3 linked regions of the Ovis aries genome follow. The protein of the gene in region 1 interacts with the protein of each later gene in a biochemical or structural test. Links are inferred from orthologs where the notes say so. Each region holds a gene or a part of one and is shown in the gene's direction. Other genes may lie near its edges.

The links.
Region 2: the proteins of PATJ (region 1) and CLDN1 form a complex in vitro, tested with the Homo sapiens proteins (2 studies listed by BioGRID and IntAct, with this or other methods). The link is inferred for Ovis aries from reciprocal best matches to the Homo sapiens genes PATJ and CLDN1.
Region 3: the proteins of PATJ (region 1) and TJP3 form a complex in vitro, tested with the Homo sapiens proteins (2 studies listed by BioGRID and IntAct, with this or other methods). The link is inferred for Ovis aries from reciprocal best matches to the Homo sapiens genes PATJ and TJP3.

The regions. Positions count from the first base shown.
Region 1 is NC_056054.1:36,994,543-36,998,196, forward strand, and holds part of PATJ (inaD-like protein), read left to right. Parts: intron 1-267; 5' UTR 268-302; coding exon 303-324; intron 325-419; coding exon 420-586; intron 587-2,569; coding exon 2,570-2,764; intron 2,765-3,654.
Region 2 is NC_056054.1:197,862,331-197,865,341, forward strand, and holds part of CLDN1 (claudin-1), read left to right. Parts: intron 1-101; coding exon 102-266; intron 267-3,011.
Region 3 is NC_056058.1:18,036,448-18,040,631, reverse strand, and holds the start of TJP3 (tight junction protein ZO-3), read left to right. Parts: upstream 1-1,282; 5' UTR 1,283-1,535; coding exon 1,536-1,700; exon of another isoform or gene 1,701-1,734; intron 1,735-4,184. UniProt on the Homo sapiens protein: TJP1, TJP2, and TJP3 are closely related scaffolding proteins that link tight junction (TJ) transmembrane proteins such as claudins, junctional adhesion molecules, and occludin to the actin cytoskeleton.

The DNA.
Region 1 (3,654 bases):
TCAAAGTGCTTGTGCCATTTTACGTTCCTACTAGCAATGTCTCAGAGTCCCAGTTACTTCACGTTTTTGTCACCACTTACAATGATCTGTTTTGCTTTCAAGTTTTAGCCATTTTAGTGGCTGTGTATGGCTTTTAATTTGGATTTCTTGAATGAAATATTTTGATGGAGAATGTTCTTGAGGTTTTCTTTGACTTTTCTATAGGACTGTAGAATTGTATACACTGATGGAAAATAATTTTTCTCGTATTTAAATTGTTTTCTTTAGGTTTCTTTAAAAGTGATTGAAGACAGTAATTCAAAATGCCTGAAAATCCTGCTACAGGTAAACTAGATATATACTTCTTTCACTAAATTAATTATTTAAAAATGGAATGTAAGATGAGATTTAACTTGTACTCATTATCCTTTTTAAAAAAGATAAACTGCAGGTCCTGCAAGTTCTTGATCGCTTGAAAATGAAATTGCAGGAGAAGGGTGACACTTCACAGAATGAAAAGCTCTCTCTTTTCTATGAGACACTAAAGAGCCCCCTTTTCAACCAGATACTCACACTTCAACAGTCCATCAAGCAACTGAAGGGGCAAGTAAGTTACCCATCAAGGTTTTACCTGTTGCTATTATTCAAACCAGCAAAGAAAGATAGAAGGAAATAGATACAAACAGTCTACTGTTAATTCTGCAAAGAGGCTGTATTGGGACTTGTGTGCAGGTAGTATTGGCATAGATAGTTTAAAAATGTTGATAATAAGTTTTGTGTTTGGCTTTGGATTCTAGTTTTTATACTTATTTATGTAAAGTTCAGATGCTTTGAAAATTCTCAACATTTTCTTCAGAATTACAGGACACATAGCCCCTCTGCTTGGAGTGATATTAAGAGTTTTACCTACTCTTTTGGTTGTTCTATTTTGGGGTCAGGGATGGCAAATTGATTTTAAATAATCTATTCTAGATGCTGAGCTTGAATAGTAGCTATCTTATAGATTAAATATGGGCAGAATTTTAAATGTAGTTAATGTAGCAGAGTTGTTATGTGAAAATTAACAAAATTTGCAGAAAAAAATGCTTTTTGCTGATAAACCAAAATGCCTATCCATAAATATTTAGCAAGTGATTTTTCTATAACTAACTAAGGATTAAATTCTGCACATATGTCTTTCTGTGAATTACTTCTTCTAGATCAAAATTTATACCAGAATTTTAGCACTCCCCATATTGAAGCTTCTATATTCTGATAATGGAATGAGTACATCACAGCAGTGAATGCTATTGGTGGCAATAGAAGTTGGGAAAGATCCCTACAAATCTATCACTCATACTGGACTAAAATTGGACTTAAGCAACTGTTCCATCATAATAACAATCTTTTATGTTTATTTAGTGTGCAGTTATTATGTAAATAATCATATTTTATTCAGTCAGCTATAAAATCCATGTGATTTTTCATATCTGTGTTTTCATAGAGTTTTTATGGGTGTTGATTTTTTTCTGTGAGTCTTATGACATTTGTTCTTGATATTTCCTTTGTTCTATTGTGTTGGTACCTGTATCAGCCAGCGGTATGTTTAAATCAATCAGTTAATTAATTTGGTCGCACCATGAGGCATGACAGATTTTAGTTCCCTGACCAGGGATTGAACCCATGCTCCCTATATTGGGAGTGCAGAGTCTTAATCTTAACCACTGGACCAACAGGGAAGTCCCTCAGCCAATGATATTTTAAAAATTAACCTCTGTTTTTCTTTTTCCTTAATTTCCCACCTTTTTTTCCCCCCACGAGTGTTTAAGTGGCTTTGCAATACATTTGCTACTAATGGGCAGGTTGTTTAATCCCTGTGTGCTTCAGTTTCCATGTTGACAAAATGAAATAAGAGTATCTCTAGGGCTATTGTAAAGATTAAGTGAGATACTATATAGGAGTTTGGGTATAGTACTTTACTTATAGCAAGCACTTAATAAATGCTGAGTTACCTTTGAATATACTACCTGCAGATCTTTTGTGTTTCCGCACGTGGGAATGTATGAAAGTGAAAGTTAGTCGCACAGTTGCCTCCAACTCTTTGCGATCCCATAGACTGTAGCCTGCCCTGCTCCTCTGTCCATGGAATTCTCGAGGCAAGAGTACGGGAGTAGGTTGCCATTTCCTTCTCCAGGGGATCTTCCTGACCCAGGGATCAAACCTGGGTCTCCTGCATTGCAGGCAGATTCCTTACCAACTGAGCCACAGAAATGTATAGATAAATGCAGTAGGGCTCAGGGCCTTACATGCATGTTTATGTGACTGGACATGTCTGTGTATGTAAAGTATGATGAGCTATATTACATGCTATATTAACGTGAGGTAACGGTAGAAGGCGGGAAATGAGAATAAGTTAAACATTTTGTATAATACTAAATAAAACATTTATAGCCTTATAAACACAGATTCATGTATCTGTATCATTTCTTTCACATGTCTATATTTAGCATGCCATTATACATGTGAGAGATAAAATATAATATTTAATAAATAGAAATACTTCTTATCTGTAGGTTTCTGTTGATAATTCTCTCTTTTTTTCCTCCAACAGCTCAGCCATATACCCTCAGATTGTTCAGCCAACTTTGATTTTTCTAGGAAAGGGTTATTGGTGTTCACGGATGGTGCCATTACTAATGGGAATGCCCACAGGTCCTCTAATAACTTGACTGTATCTGGGTTATTTTCTTGGACTCCAAAGTCAGGAAATGAAGATTTTAACTCAGTCATACAACAGATGGCCCAGGTAAAGTTATATCTTGTCAAGGGACTATTTAGTTTTATTTCTATTGTTGGAGGTTAAAAAAGAAACCTACACTCACACTTTTTGTCTCTAAAATGTGTTACTCTGTGTTTTGGTTGCTTGTGTTTTTACATTGTTAGGAGGAGTTGATACTATTTTCTAATCTGTGAGTTGGAAATTTGTTTAAGATTACATAAGAAAAATATCCATGTGCCTGGTGAGGATAGTTTTTAAGACAATGACTCCAGTCTGACACATCTGTACACTTGTAAGGAAAGAGATTCTCATAGTTTTGATCATAGAAGGAAAAATAATGTGTCTGCCGAAGTAATATAATTCCTTTGAAATTATTTTAAATTTTATATCAAACAGAATTAATGGGAGTTAGAACTAATATAATTTGGAAAATCTAGTATATATAATTTGGAAATTTAGTATATATAATTTATGTATATATATAAAATCCAAATGTAATTTGGAAAATTATGATTTGGAAAGTCTAGGAAAACATTTGGAAGTGTAATCCCATTTCATCCTTAGTATCTATTAAAATCAAATGATAGTTGAATTTTTAGATGTGCTAGATTCCTTTATTCACCTTGCCTTCTAACAAGTGCCCTAAAAAATAGAACTTGAGTTTGAAAGTTAAAAAGAATCTATTTAAGGTGTGATAGTTAAATAATGTTCTACACCTAATTCCTTTTTTGATTTAATTGCTCTATCCCCTTAATTTGACTAATAATTATTTTTATGTGATGCTTTTATTAGTTGATTACATTTATGAAGTTCTCATGTAATAAATACAATTAATTATTCACCAAAGCAATAAAATACTTGTTTGTCACAGGTAGCCCCATTTGAATGGTGGCCTTTCTGTAATCTTTTGAATTAAC
Region 2 (3,011 bases), about 160 Mb from region 1:
TTCCTGTCTTCCATACAGCATTGAAATGACTTGGTCTTCTACCACTCTTCTCTCATTGGTCTAGACATAATTGTTACATGTTCTAAAATGTGTTTTGTCAGGCACTCTGCAAGCAACCCGTGCCTTGATGGTGATCGGCATCCTGCTGGGACTAATAGCCATCTTTGTGGCCACCCTTGGCATGAAGTGTATGAAGTGCATGGAAGACGACGAGGCACAGAAGATGCGGATGGCTGTCTTTGGGGGCGTGATCTTTCTTATTTCAGGTAAGAGAGGCCCTGTCCCTCTTAGACCTTATTAAACGCTTTCTGACATTTTTTAAGGTCTAGTTTTTTTGCTTCCTTAGATCATGTTGGTTTTATTGCTCTTAAATCAATTGAATTCAGTTCCTTTAAAATATGAAGCATAGAAACTTTAAACCCAATTGACTTTCACTTTTTCAAATGGGAACTGAATAAAAATCTGAGATCTATGTTCACAGTTGACAGGTCTATTCCCTGAGGTTTCAGGTGCCAACTGATTCATTAGAAACAGTCTCCTCAAGTGAAGGGAGATATTTTTTCTATCTGGCAAATACTAAGGACCAATTCTGTGTAATTCAGAAAATTTCTGTGGTGTCTCTACTGATACTACGTGGGAAAGATGGGAAATGGTAAGAGAGAACATGAGGAAGGTGTAATCATACAGTTATAAATGAATGGAATGAGTAGGGCTGGGATTATTGAAGGAAGAGGAGGACATTATTCCATGTAAGCAGTACTGATTCTAGAATGAACAGGCTTTACCGATAGATCAATGAAGAGAAAGGTCATTTGGAGTTCAGGTGGAATATTGGAATGGTAGGAAATGAGAAGAAATGAGTTAAAAAGAGAAAATAATACAGAAAAGTCTTGGAATAAAAACCTTGACAAAAGAGTGAGATTACATTTTCCATAGACAATAAATATGTATTTATTGCTTTATTCAAATCTTATGTGACCTTTGAGAAAATGAGAGTCAGAAGAGGACAAGGACAGTTCATTTGTAAAGTCTTATAATAAAGTTAATATTAAATAACATCTCACATACAAGGTTGTCATTACCATCTTTCTAAATTCCATATATATGCGTTAGTATACTGTATTGGTGTTTCTGGATGCCTGGGGCTGGTGCACTGAGACGACCCAGAGGGATGGTATGGGGAGGGAGGAAGGAGGGGGTTTGAGGAGGGAGGGGGGTTGAGGATGGGGAACACGTGTATACCTGTGGTGGATTCGTGTTGATGTATGGCAAAACCAATACAATATTATAAAGTAATTAACCTCCAATTAAAATAAATGAATTAAAAAATAAATAAGATAATATGTGCATTAAAAATGTGTATGTATATAAAATAATAGACTATTATATGTCATATATTGTAGGTGTCTATTGTTTTGAAATAGACTATTACATATGCTTTCCTGATGGCTCGATGATAAAGAATCTGCTTGCCAATGCAGGAGATATGGACGTGATCCCTGGGATGGGAAGATTGCCTGGAGAAGGAAATGGAAACCCACTCCAATATTCTTGCCTGGGAAATCCCATGGACAGGGGAGCTTGGCAAGCTACAGTCCATGGGGTCACAAAGAGTCAGACATGACTTAGAGACTAAACAACAACAATAAGACTATTACATAAACTATATATGGTAGTCTATTGTTTTTGGAAATGACATTAGTAGTATAATCTACCACTAGGAAAAACTAGAATTAGATTTTTTCCTCATTTTCTCTTTAAGAAAAGTATGTGGATTTCATGAACAATGAAGGAAGAATGCTTGTGGCTTTACTAAACATTTGGTTACAGATTATTCAAATTACTACTGCAGAGCATTTTATTCCCAACACTTAGGTTTTACACCAAAGGCTAGGGATACACTTACTGAGTAGAACCTGTCCTCCGCTGATCTTCTAGTAACTCCCGTCCATCACTCCTGCAGTCTCACGGACTTCTAGGAGTGAGGGTTGCAAGTTCCAGAGTATTCATATTTTCTACTCGAGCAGCCAAAAGCCACAGTGTTTTCTTTCAAGTATTAGAAGCAGTTAGGTTGGACCACTTTTTTTGTAGGAGGAAGAGGGCAATGGGTGTAGCATAGAAATATTAATCTGTCTAAATTGATGAATTTTTAGACTGACTGTGTGCTAAGTCACTTCAGTCATGTCTGACTCTTTGAAACCCTATATACTATAACTTGCCAGGCTCCTCTGTCCATGGGATTCTCCAGGAAAGAATACTGGAGTGGGTTGCCATGCCCTCTTCCAGGGGTTCTTCCTGACCCAGGGATCAAAACCTGTGTCTCTTACATCTCCTACATTGGCAGGCATTTTCCTTAACACTAGTGCCACCTAAGCCCAGACTATAAAAAAGAAATTATTTAAGTTCTTTGGATAAGAAAAATTGAGGTACTATATACTTATTTTAATAAATGATAGAGTAGATTATTTTGACTAAGTGGTTTCTGTGGGGCTGCCCAGGTGTCTCAATGGTAGAGAATCCACCTGCTAATATAGGACATGCAGGTTCAATTACTGGGTCTGGAAGATCTCCTAGAGGAGGAAATGGCAACCCACTCCAGTATTCTTGCCTGGAAAATCCCATGGATAGAGGAACCTGCAGGCTACAATCCAGTCAAAGACTGAGCATGCACACGTGCACTGAAATGCGAGAGGCATGAGAAACTGGGAGTGCGCTGCGTACAATGATCTGATGTGGCGCCTCAGAGAATCTCATGGCCAGACCTGGAACATCTGGCCAATAGGGTGTAGGGATGTAGGTGATTGGGGTACCCTGAGCCAGGTCCAATGTGTTCCTGCTATCTGGCTATTTACATTCATTTTGATCCTTCAGAAATGTGAATTTTGCCTTTTGGCCAAGAAGAATGTGGAAGAGTTTTCATCTTCCCTTTTTTAAGTGACGAGCTTTACTAATAAGGACTTTGGTTTTATCAAAAGTAGTCTAGCACACTAATTTATAACAATCTATTTTAA
Region 3 (4,184 bases), on another chromosome or scaffold:
CCCCTCCTCCAGGAAGACTTCCCTGATCCCTAATTTCCCCCTCTGCCTCCCCTCTTCCCCTAATCTGGAGCTTCTTTCTGCCCAGTCTTGACTGGATGAGGCTGGAAAGGGGTGTCTATGCCCAGGTTTGCCCCTTCAACCTTGACCTGGGTGGGGCAAGGAAACAGTTAGGCCTCAGGGTCTATTTTTTTTAAGCAAGAAGGAATGTGAGGGTAGAGCCAATGGTGGCTCCACCCACCCAGGTGACTTTCTCCCTTCCACACCCCCAGGTAGAGGGCTTCCTGCTCTGGTCCGATTATTCCTAGACAGGTCCCTTGAGGGTGAGTCAGGGGGTGGAGAAAGAAGCATGACCTTTACTCCAAGAATCTTAAAGAATTTCCTTGTCCCCGCTGTGTGCCCTTCCTAGCTGGGGACCCAACCCAGGGCTAGGTGGGAAAACAGGCTGATAATACTGGATTCTGGCCAGGCCCAGAGGTGACTGCTGTGCACCTTCTGGATCCTCCACTGTAGGGGACATCAAAAGGGAAGTCTCATATCAGCCTACACCTTCAGAAAGTCCACACCCCGCACCCCACCCCAGGTTTCTCTGGGCCTCAGTTTCCTCTCTAAAATAAACTCCCCAAAATGAAAAAATCAAATAAAATCGGGTTAACTTGCTGAAGATGAGGTGACTGAGAAAGATCAGCCCTACTCTTGGGAGGTGTCTGACCCTTGGCTAGCTCCTAATCATAACACGTCTCTCTACAGAATCTCAACACGCATAGGTTTTCCAGGATGAAACCCCTTCCAAAGCGCAGGCTCCGTTCCAAACGCGGCCTTAATCCCTGCCTGGTCTTTCTTGCAGCCTCCCCTGGCGGGTCTCCAACCCGGCCGCCGGCTAGTGCGCAGCTGGGCGGAAAACGCGGCCTGGAATTCCCACCCCAGGGCCTGGATCCTGTGTTGGGAGGGGTGGCGCGGTGGGAGCGAAGGCAGCCAGGGCGGCGTCCCGGAGGCGTGTCGGGACAGAGGCGGGGCCGGGAGGGGACTCAGGAGGAAGAGGTGCAGGTGCAGCCCTGGCGGCGGAGCGGGCGGGAGGAGGGCAAGTGCTGGACACCTGCTTCGCCGCGACCCTCCCCAGCCTCCTCTCGCACCCCAGGGTGGGGTCCAGTTTTGACTGTTTCTAGGCCCCCCGCCCTTGGCCAGAGGCGCTGGACAGCCCCCAGGGGGGACTATGGCGGTGAGATTCCAGGCGAGTAGCCCGCGGAGGGCTGGAGGGGGGAGGGGACCGAGGTGGGGTCGGGGCTGGTTCCGGGACCGGGACTCCAGATCACCCCCGTCCTAGGTAACAGATGGGGAAACTGAGGCCCAGGAGAATGTGGAAGCTAGCACGGGCGGAGCGTCTGCACCCACTGGCCTCCACCGCTGCCTCCGGGGGCTCCCTCTGCCCCGGGTCTGCCTCCCTTAACAGATAGCGTTCGTGTGTGTACTAGGTCACTTCTGTTGTGTATGACTGTTAGCAACCCAGGGGACTGTAGCCCGCCAGGCTTCTCCGTCCCATGCTCTTCTCCAGGGGATCTTTCCGACCCAGGGATGGAACCCGCGTCTCTTATGTCTCCTGTATAGGCAGTCGGGATGTTTACCACCAGCTCCACCTGGGAAGCCCCTTAGCAGGCCGACCTGCGTTCAAATCCCGACTTTTCTGTGTAACTTTGAGCCAGCCAGTGAGTCCACGCCTTTGAGAACCTCGTCTGTAAAGTGGGTGATGGTCACTTTATAGAAGGGCGTGGGGAGGATCCTAGGAGGGGGGGAAAATGCTCCTGGTACATAGTAGGGGTGCAGTTTCCCAGGGGGATGGGCCGAGTTGAGCTTGAGCACTAAGGGTGGGACGGTAGGCAGGGACTTTGTGGGCTGGAACGTCTTTGGCTAAGGCAGTGAGGCTGTGAAAGAGGGGATCACCATTTATTGAGTGTCTGCTGTATACAGAGTCGTTAACTTGGGGGATCTGGCTTGAGAGCCCAGTTTTGCTGCATCGGGCAGGCCGATCGGGGCTGGGGCCGGGAATCCCCGTGGCTCTGTGGCGAGGGGGATGTGCTTCGTTCTCTAGTGTTGGAGCTTGAACCGGCTTTCTCACACCCACCCTTCTGCGTCTCAGGTCGGGCCCCAGAGGGGTAAACAGGTGAACAGGCTTGGGAGATCTGTGGCTGGCCCCAGGCCAGACCACCCGAGGCTGTAGGGCCGGGAAGTTCTTTCTCCTTCCAGGCAGCAAGAAGCAGCTCCCAGAATCCCGTCCTCAACTCGAGTATTTGTGGTCCCCTCCCCTCCCCCACTCCGACCCCCGCTGTGGTTCCCAGAGGTGGGGGCGGGGAGGGGGAGAGTGATCAGCAGCCTGGCAACCACGTGCCCGGGCCGGTGTGACTCGGTAAGCCCAGTCCCCTCTGGAGGCCTCTAGTATCCGGTGTTTCTGTCCCGCGCGTGGCAAAGGGCGGGGATGTAGGCCCGGGCCCCGCCCCCTCGGAGCTCACCTGGAGGGGGGCGGGGCTGAGGAGGCTAGGAACTCTGGACAGACATGCAGGTGCTGGTTGTTCAATTGCTAAGTCGTGTCTTACTCTTTGCGACCCTATGGACTGCAGCACATCAGGCTCCTCTGTCCTCCACTGTCTCCCAGAGAACCTAGAGTTCCTGGCAAAATCAGCCTTTTATTCTACCATTAGTGCATTCCTCAAACTACCCCCCGCACGCTGTCCTGTGGGGACCATGATGGGGTCCCAGGGCCCCCAACCCTGCCTACCAGGAATCACCAGACTCACGGGTGTAGGGGAGACAGGTGGACTGGGACCTCCCAGGCCTCAATAATCAGAGGCAAGAAATGTGTGTGTCTTGCTGGGGTGTTGAGGACTTATTTCCTGAAGGAAGACACAGTGCCCCTGGGGCTGTGAAGGATGAAAAGGAGTTTGCCAGGGAGTACAGGATGTGCAAAAGCCTGGAAGGGAGGCTGATTGGAGGACCAATCAGCAAAGTACCCGGAGAGACAGCCCCGGCTAGCCTTCACACCCAAGAGGAAAGATCAGAAAATCACAAATTGATGATTAAACAGGGTAATTGAAGATGGTTTTGGATGCCATGAGTAAAACCTAATAAATAAAGCAGAAGAATGGTAGGATGCCAGCCAGAGAAGACTGGCTAGTCTGGGAGGTCTTCCTGGGGAGGTGGCATTTGAGCTGAGACCCAAGTGTCAGGGGACAGCTGTATGCATGTTGGGAGGGTGTCCAGGCACAGGGGTCAGCCAGGGAAAGGTTGGGGGTGAACTAAGCTGAGGTGGGCTGTGACCCTATGGGTGTCAGAGAGCCTGCCAGTATCCATGGAGGTGAACCTGCACAAGCCAGAGCAAGCCACAGCCACCTGTGCCTGCCCCCTCAGGGGCTGTGATTCCCTGGGGGCTGATTCTTAAAATAGAGCCAGGAACTCAAAATGCAAGGGAATCATTTAATGACACCAAACATAAAATCAGAGCAAGTGATTTTGTTCCAAAAGATTTTGTTCCAAAAAATAAGTTTAGAAGGAAAAAAAAAAAAAACAAAAAACAGAAGGATGCTGGGACCAGGTAGTTGAGAGCAAAGGCATGGGACAGACTGCCAAGGTTCACGTAGTGCTGTGTGACCTCTAGTAAGTTACTGAACCTCTCTGGGCCTCCTTTTCCTCCCCTGTGAGGCAGGAAGGCAGGAACAGAAGCAGTGCCGCTTCCTGAGGTCCTCAGGAGTAAAGGAATGGGTACTGCATAGTGCTCGCTGGCAGCTCATGAGATAGTGTTGCTTATTAATGTTACACAGAGGAGAAAGGTCATTATTATTACTTCTCACTACAACCACTGCCGTCCCTCCAGAGGCTCCTACTGCTATTTGTGGGAGACTCCAGGCCCCCTTCTCACACCTCAGCACTGAAAGATGGGGCAGCGGGGGTGAGGGAGGTACCCATTGTACAGATGGGGAAGATGAGGCTGGAGAAGTACCACCACAGCCTGTCAAGTGCACACTGGAGGATTTGAATCTTGGTGGTGCAAAGCAGACCTGGCTCCCAGGAGGGCTCATGAGGCCCCGCCCTTGGCTTTGCTCCCCTCTTCTCCTCAGCTTCCTACCTCCCTGGAGCCTGGAATGCTGCTCTCCCAGGAACCTCTAAGAAAAGGCAGGGAAACACCACACACTGCACAG